Linked DNA regions of Arabidopsis thaliana. The protein of the gene in region 2 interacts with the protein of the main gene of each other region in a biochemical or structural test. Each region holds a gene or a part of one and is shown on either strand. Other genes may lie near its edges. The genes, in order: PFA-DSP1 and OEP80.

Region 1 (3,927 bases), on a different chromosome or scaffold from region 2:
TCACGACTTTGAATCTTGATGATCATGGATGAATGGATATCATGCATGAAAAAATTAAAATTTCTATGATATGGAAAAACGACAATAATGGACGAAATCTTTGTACGTCAAAATCGGAGACTTAGATCGTTAGATGCATGCAACTAATTAACAACTCCAATAACTTCAATTGAAAATGTGCGTATACTCACTCTCATGAACGGTCTTCTCGTATTGTTAATTCACTGTAATCCTTTTGCGTTTTGATACGCAACTTCGGAATGGGCAACGGTATAGCGAGGCTTACGTATGCTTTGGAAAAACATTAATTCATATATTAATGTTTTATATTCCGTGAGAAAATTTCAATGTTTTGGAAAATTAGAACAAATTAGAACAAATTCTCGAAAGATAAATTGAAGGCATTATGATATTTTCGTACGTTCTTTTTACGGAAAGTTCTTTAACGGCATCCAAAACGCTTTCGTACGTGGCCGAGTGCTCGCGGCGCAATAATCCTTGAGAATCATAAGGTATATTCCCTGGAATGTACCTTTTTTGTTTTTCTTATAAAAAAACTATCTGGTGCATTTTGTTTTTATGGAGTAATTTATCCAATTAAAGTCCAGTGTGGGACACTAAACATTACAAATTTTATGTCTTTAGCTTAGTTATCATCTGTTTTTTTTTAATTAGAAAAGAGTAGTTTTCTGGTGTGAGTGTTATGTGGAAGACAAATATGTGACGTGGATTCTAATAATGTATTGTCGTGATGTGGTTCTTTTTGCATTATTTCGTTTTGATTATGTAATAGACATATATTTAAATGGTGCGATTATGCACCGAAGAAAAACATTCGTCTCCATTTTTCTTTATACGAAATTTGACCCCAAAAAAAAGGTAAAACACGGCGTCCGTGTTATTATGTAGTATCATGTATGACAGAAATGGCAACTACAGTAGATAGTTTGGACCGAATTTTATTTTCACACAATTAAATAGTTATTTCAAGGCAGTAACAAATTGGTGGAAAAAAAAAAAAAAAAGGCAGTAACAAATATTAAAACCGAATATTGGCTAAAATTATACATTTCAAAACAATATTATGAAATTGTTTAACAAAACAAAATGTGAAAGGAACATAGAAGTAATTAATGTACTCAGATTACGATCCCATAGAACTTAAATAAAGGTGCGTTTATGAATGCCAGATGACTCAGATTAGTGATTGTTCTTCCCACTTAGCAGAGTAATTGCTCTTTGTCCTTTGGAATCTCTCTCTCTCTTTTTATTTCTCTGTGTTTCGCTTGGAATCTATATTTTCGCTATTTCCTGGAATGATGATATATATGTATGTTAGTATGTAGTAGTCAATATTTTTGTATATTGTGAATAAGTGACTTTTTCAAGGTAAATATAGGTCAGAAACTTCAAATTCAAAATATTAAATATTATAATATTGGTGAAAATATATAGTCAAAAAATGATTTTAGGTTCGGTTGATAATTTATTCAATGAGAGTGATTTACCCGAATAAGATGATTGTGTGTGAGCAAAAAGATTCCACAATGATGCCAATTTAAGCTTCAACAAGTGCTTTCCTATTAACAAGAACAATTTATGTAATATCATTTTTTTCGTTTGTTTTGCAAAACTGCAAAGTCATTTTATTTTGTTTACTTTAATAATCCTTGAAAATGTTATAACAGTTATTTCCTCAAATTAGACCATCATACTATTATTATTGTTATTATCAACCGTTGATAAAAATGGTAGTAGCATGTACAACTAAGATAGACCGTTACAAAATTCGTGTATTGTTAATTATTATATAGTTTCCGTATGTTGCTGTTTTCAGCTCAACTTGAGTAAATATAAAATATTAAACTGTTTATTCTAATATTGGATTCTTTTGTGTAGTGGCAACTTATTTTTTTCTAAGCTTTTTTTTTTTACAGATTACGGATTTCAGTATGAAATTGTAGATCCAATCAACTATTTTCACATATGCTAAAAGGTATCTAAAAAGTAAAAACACTTAACAGATTATAAACAAAAAAGCTTTTAAGATAAATGTCACAAATTCTTTAAAAATAAACAAATAAACAGCTATTGACAAACAAAAAATAAAAATAAAAAAGGAGTCCTTGCTGGGTCCATCTCCTTTGCGTTCTTTTTCGTCTGTTGAATTTTGAACAGAGTCACAAGTCTCTCTCCATATAAACCTCCCCAAGGTCGACGCTACGTAACGACCATCTCCATTACTCGACTCTCCTCACCTAAAGATTCAACCTTTTCTCTGTTTCCCAATTCAGAGATGAAGCTTGTGGAGAAGACGACTACTACAGAGCAGGACAATGGAGAAGATTTCTGCCGCACCATCATCGAGGTTTCCGAGGTTAACAGAAACGTGTTTCAGGCTCCGGGCGGTGAAGCTGATCCCTTTCGAGTTGTCTCCGGCGAAGAACTTCACCTAATTCCGCCGCTCAACTTCTCCATGGTCGATAACGGTATATTCCGGTCTGGATTCCCTGATTCAGCTAACTTCTCCTTTCTCCAGACTCTCGGTCTCCGCTCAATCATGTAAAAGCTCCTTCCACATTCATGACATTTTGTATACTATATATCAAACTTTCGAAATTGCTGATTTTAGGTTTTTTCGAATTTGTGAAGATACTTGTGCCCGGAGCCCTACCCAGAGAGCAATCTCCAGTTCCTTAAATCCAATGGAATCAGGCTTTTCCAGTTTGGTATTGAAGGCAACAAGGTAACCATCTTTCTTCTCCTCTCTCTTCATCAAGTCTCCGTTTTTAATTGCTCTGTAATTCTAAACCTTACTTGGATAGTTCACTAGGAGAATTCTCTGAATGGAAAAATCATATCTTGCTGCAGTGTGTTCCTGACTTAGACAACGAGATTTCCTTGCATTTATGGAATTCTAAGCATCAGAAACAGGGTCCCTTAACTAATGGACTTTCGAAAACTTTGGTACACACTACATATATTAACTGGAACACGATACTATTTCTGGAATATATCATAGTTCATTCAATTTGAAGGGTTTTATTTGCTTGATATTTATTGCCTAATTGTTCTTGAAAATCCTGTCTCATTGTTGTTTACTTTAGACTACTAAAACTGTTTCTGTGTTTTCTTTCTCTTGAATTTGATCCTTCATGGGCACTCTGTTCCAAGCCATATTTTATTATTATGAGTTTACCAGAAAAAGAACACATCTTTCTTTATTGTTTTGCCTCTTTGGCTCTTTCCGTCTCTCTTGACCTCCACTGATTTGGTCCCACTCTTTGTTTTTCTGCCCCTTCAGCAACTATTCCCCACTTGTTCTTTCTACTCTCTATTTATAAAATTAGATTATGGACTACGTCAAAATATTTGCTGAGCTACTTGTTGCTAGTGTTGTCAATGATCCCACTACTCAATAGCTTACTTTCTGTTGTTATTGTTTTCTTGGTTCATGTTTATTGAGTGTGCACTTTTTTATACAGATATGATATCTTATGAAATCATACATCAGCGAAAGTGTTTTTGATTGTGTACAAGTAAACCGTTTTTTATGGTAAAAACTTGTAGAAAGCGTGTTGATCGTGAAAGTGTCCATATTAGCTGTAAGGTTTGAAATCTAGATAAGGTTAGGAATTGCTGGGAAAATGATAGATGGTTACGTTGTAAGTCGGTTAATGTTGTTTAATACGTACCTTTAGTTCCTTTCCTTTTCTATGTGTTAGTGGCTCATGTTTGGGCAAATCGTTGGTAAAGTGATAGAATAACCAAAAACTTCACCATAGAGTCTTGAACTTATTACCCTCATGAGTTACCATTCGCCTTTCCTGAAGAGATGGGTATGAATCTAATTTGAGTTGATATGTTTGAAAGAAAATATGTTTGTTCTGGTATGCAGTAGCTATCATTCTCTCCCCCCACAGAATC
Region 2 (3,927 bases):
AAAGAAATATATTTACACACCTCCTGCAGGTTGAGGAATAATACTAACATCTTCCATGATTCCCATGGCTAGCACAGTGTCTACATCCCTCTTCCCTTGAAGCATGCTGTAGACCTAAATTGACCAAAAGCCAGATTAGACAAGATGTGTATGTAGAGGCCCTACTTAGACGCTCATGCATAAAGACTTTAAGGCCAAATTTTACGAAGAAACATACATGATACCATAAAGAGTGATTAACCTTAATTAAAAATAAGATCTCCAAAGGATTTCATACACAGATGATGCACTCAGAAGTGTTATTTAGCATAAAAATACAGCTCAGATAGTTTATGATGTTTTAGTCAGCGACTTATCTTTACATCTAAGCTGAGAAATGCCCAAAAAATACCTGTCCCTTCTTTGTTGTAAGTTGCCGTAGTATTGTCTCAGGGCTAGTCTTCCCTTTAGTTGGTTCCCCACTAAATATAGAAGGCACCATTATCAATGAAATCGTAATCTAATAGTTGAAATAAAAGGAAGCTACCAGTGCCATCCAGAATTGCCTACAATTTAAACCAATATAAACTACATTCATAAGGGAGGGATTGGCACCAGCTTACGTCTTACGATCAAGGAATCGGATGGATATGTTGTTAACCTCTGCTTCAGCAACCTGAAGCCTTACTATACCTCCAGAAAGCGTATCAATATCTGAAACCTACAATGGCAGACAACAGAATGATGATTCTAACCACAAAGTATAAGACTGAATCCAGGATGATTTTTTTTTTTGAAAAAGTAATTATGGTGTAAAAAGAGCACTTACAATTCCGAAAAGACCACGCTCCATGTACCATCCATTGATGGATGTAATAGCTTCTTCCAGTCTCTTAATATTAATCACTTTCCCTACACAGCTTGACACCAACATTTACTAACCATTACCCTCTCCAATCAAACACACACCGAACAGAAGGAATCCACCTAACTAGCCTCAATACATTAATATGTGTAAACTAAATGCAACTTCAAATTATGCTCTGTTTTGGAGCATGGATACATTTTGAGAATACTACCTACCTCTAATCTATCTTCTTCATTCAAGGCTAACACATTTTACACCATGTGTTAGAAAATTCTTAGCTTCATCATTAGTACTCGAAATATTTGTCAGGTTCCAATATCATTAATCCATTTTACTCCCAACGTAAATCAATGAATTGACAGATAAGTCTAGTACAGTACAGAAGAAAAAAAAACAAGCTAAATTGGAGGATACGTACCAAACCCATCTCGGAAAGCTTCATGTATGAACTTGGAAGGAAGAACATTTGCATTTTCACAGACTAACCCACGAAATTCTTGGTTTGGTTCTACCTTATGGCAAGAAAATGAGAATTATTTGCATCCCAGAAACATAAAAACGAGACCTTTCTCCTCCAACAAAAAGAGTAACAATCAAAATATTACCTGAAACATCAACCGAATCCCGTCTCGTGTATCAACAGCAACAGGAGTACAAGAGCAAAAGTACCCACTTTCTATAATCCTATGTACATCCTCCTGTACCTCACGAATAGTCAACGCTGAATTAGCTCTACAAGCTTTCAAAGCAGCCAATGCCTCCATTTCCAAATCCTTCCTCTCAAGTTCCTCACCATCTTTCGTTCTTACTAAAACCTCACTAATCAGAACTCGTTCCTCCGCATTTCGACTCACCGAGTGACCCTTCTGCTGCTGTACTGTATCCTTCCCTTCCACTGACTGAGTCGACTCGTTAGGTCTAGTTAGAGACAAAGAGGCACAACAGAGCAGAGGCGAGCTTAGTCCACGGATTGTCTCAACGTTCTCATCTCTTGATTCAGACCAATTGAATTGGGTGGATTGGATAAGAGACAATGAAATTGGAGAAGACTTCCCAATCATAAGCTGGGTTACTGAATTGAGCATCTGAGTCGGTAAATTGGGACGACGAACCGAACGTGGAGGAGGAGTGTGGCGATTCTTTAGCGACTGGAGCATTTGGTTTAGTGAGTTACGAGTATTTGAGAGGTGAGAGACGAAGGTTTTAGAGCAGGATTGGAGATTGGTGAGTAAAGAGTGTTGTTCTTTGGGAGATGGAGAATGGATTCTGATAGAAGATGAAGAGAAGCGAACATCATCGTTGTGACAATGCATTGTTAATCGTACTCGGGAGTGAAATTGAGGAAATGTCAAGGAAGAAGAAGAGCTTAAGAGATAAAATCTAAGAACAAAAAATAAGAGCTAGGGTTTTTTTTGATTCGGAGACTCGGAGTAGAAGATGATAGAGTGAAAAGGAGGTGATGTTAAAGCCCATTTACGAACAAACAAAAAACAAATTATTTTTTTGAATGTTTTATGTAAACATTCCTTTGAGTATATTATTAGGTTTTGTAAAATTACTGGATTTTCAAAAATGAAAATAAAATTGCGTCAAATAAATATTTTGGAAAATAATCAATTTCTCATTAAGGGGATTTCTCATTTATTTGACGGTAAATTAGTTTTTTGTAGGGTAAATTAGTTAACTAACGTTCAAAACATGTTAATCAAAATAAATAAATAGATTTTTGAGAAAAAAACGTTAGTTGATTTCTCCTATCCATTTTCTTGATTTTATTGATTAATAGATCACACACATGAACAAACAAGGATTATTGAATAGTTTTTCTGTGAATTTTTTTAGTAGTTATGGTCACAAACATGTAACAAAACCAATTATATTAATTTTGTCAATTTTAGACTTGTTAATTATAGAGAGTTTTGGCTCTTCTTAAGCAAGCCATAAACCCTTAAAACATTCATCTTATTAGGACCAGTACATAAATAAGTTATGGTCTGAATTTTAGTAAAATTTAAGCTGAGAGATATATTCTCTTGGAAACACTAGGACCAGTACATAAATAGAGTTATGGTCTGAATTTGGTAAAATTTAAGCTCCATTAACCTCTTAAGCGTCAGTTTTTCTCTACTGGTTAATTGAATAGTAGAGGAAAAAAACTTCAGCTATGCAAAGTCTGACTCAGATCAGTATGAAGAGGCCTAATCCTACAAAAATGGTTTCCACTCCAATCATCGTAGAGTTTGCTTCTACTTTAAAAGAAGAAGAAAAAAAAACCTTGAACACATACGTTTGATCCAAATAATGTATCCTTAAATCTGAATTTTTGCAGAACGTACATTAGTTTTCTATCTTAAGCCTTAAAGAAATTGACGGTAGCTGATGATGGAGTTTTCCTAGATGTGTGATGACAAATGGTTGAAACTCACCCATCACTGAGTCTCAGCCACTAAAACTTATATACTAAATATAGGATCAAACCAAGGCAAGGCAACACCGTACACATAAAGAATAAAAACGAAGAACAACAAAAAAAACAGTTGCTGAATGATTTTTCTTCTTTATCGGCAAGAAGAGTGTGATAAGGTGAGAAATGGATCGTATCGCCGTAAGAGCAAAGCGGAAAGAGCTAGGGATATCATGCATGCTTAACACGGAGGTTGGTGCAGTCCTTGCCGTCATTCGTAGACCCCTTTCAGAAAGTTACCTTTCTCCCCAAGAAACAGACCACTGTGATTCATCAGTCCAACAATCTCTCAAATCTCTTAGAGCTCTTATTTTCAATCCTCAACAAGATTGGCGCACCATAGATCCTTCGGTTTATCTTTCTCCTTTCCTCGAAGTTATTCAAAGCGATGAGATTCCGGCTAGCGCCACAGCTGTCGCTCTTTCCTCCATCTTAAAGATCCTTAAAATCGAGATCTTCGATGAGAAAACACCTGGTGCAAAAGATGCTATGAATTCTATTGTCTCCGGGATTACTAGTTGTCGTTTGGAGAAAACAGATTTGGTGTCTGAAGATGCTGTAATGATGAGGATTCTTCAAGTTTTAACCGGAATCATGAAACATCCATCCTCTGTAC

Evidence for each region.
Region 1: the proteins of OEP80 (region 2) and PFA-DSP1 form a complex in vitro, tested with the Arabidopsis thaliana proteins (one study listed by BioGRID).

The regions. Positions count from the first base shown.
Region 1 is NC_003070.9:1,423,364-1,427,290, forward strand, and holds the start of PFA-DSP1 (Phosphotyrosine protein phosphatases superfamily protein), read left to right. Parts: upstream 1-2,175; 5' UTR 2,176-2,296; coding exon 2,297-2,562; intron 2,563-2,652; coding exon 2,653-2,746; intron 2,747-2,871; coding exon 2,872-2,967; coding exon of another isoform or gene 2,968-3,036; exon of another isoform or gene 3,037-3,927. UniProt on the Arabidopsis thaliana protein: Cleaves the beta-phosphate at the 5-position of soluble inositol pyrophosphates.
Region 2 is NC_003076.8:6,621,556-6,625,482, reverse strand, and holds the start of OEP80 (outer envelope protein of 80 kDa), read right to left. Parts: upstream 2,287-3,927; 5' UTR 2,161-2,286; coding exon 1,453-2,160; intron 1,360-1,452; coding exon 1,266-1,359; intron 892-1,265; coding exon 809-891; intron 701-808; coding exon 603-700; intron 462-602; coding exon 392-461; intron 115-391; coding exon 21-114; intron 1-20. Other genes in the region: GNL2 (GNOM-like 2), read left to right, coding at 3,438-3,923. UniProt on the Arabidopsis thaliana protein: Plays an essential role during early stages of plastid development.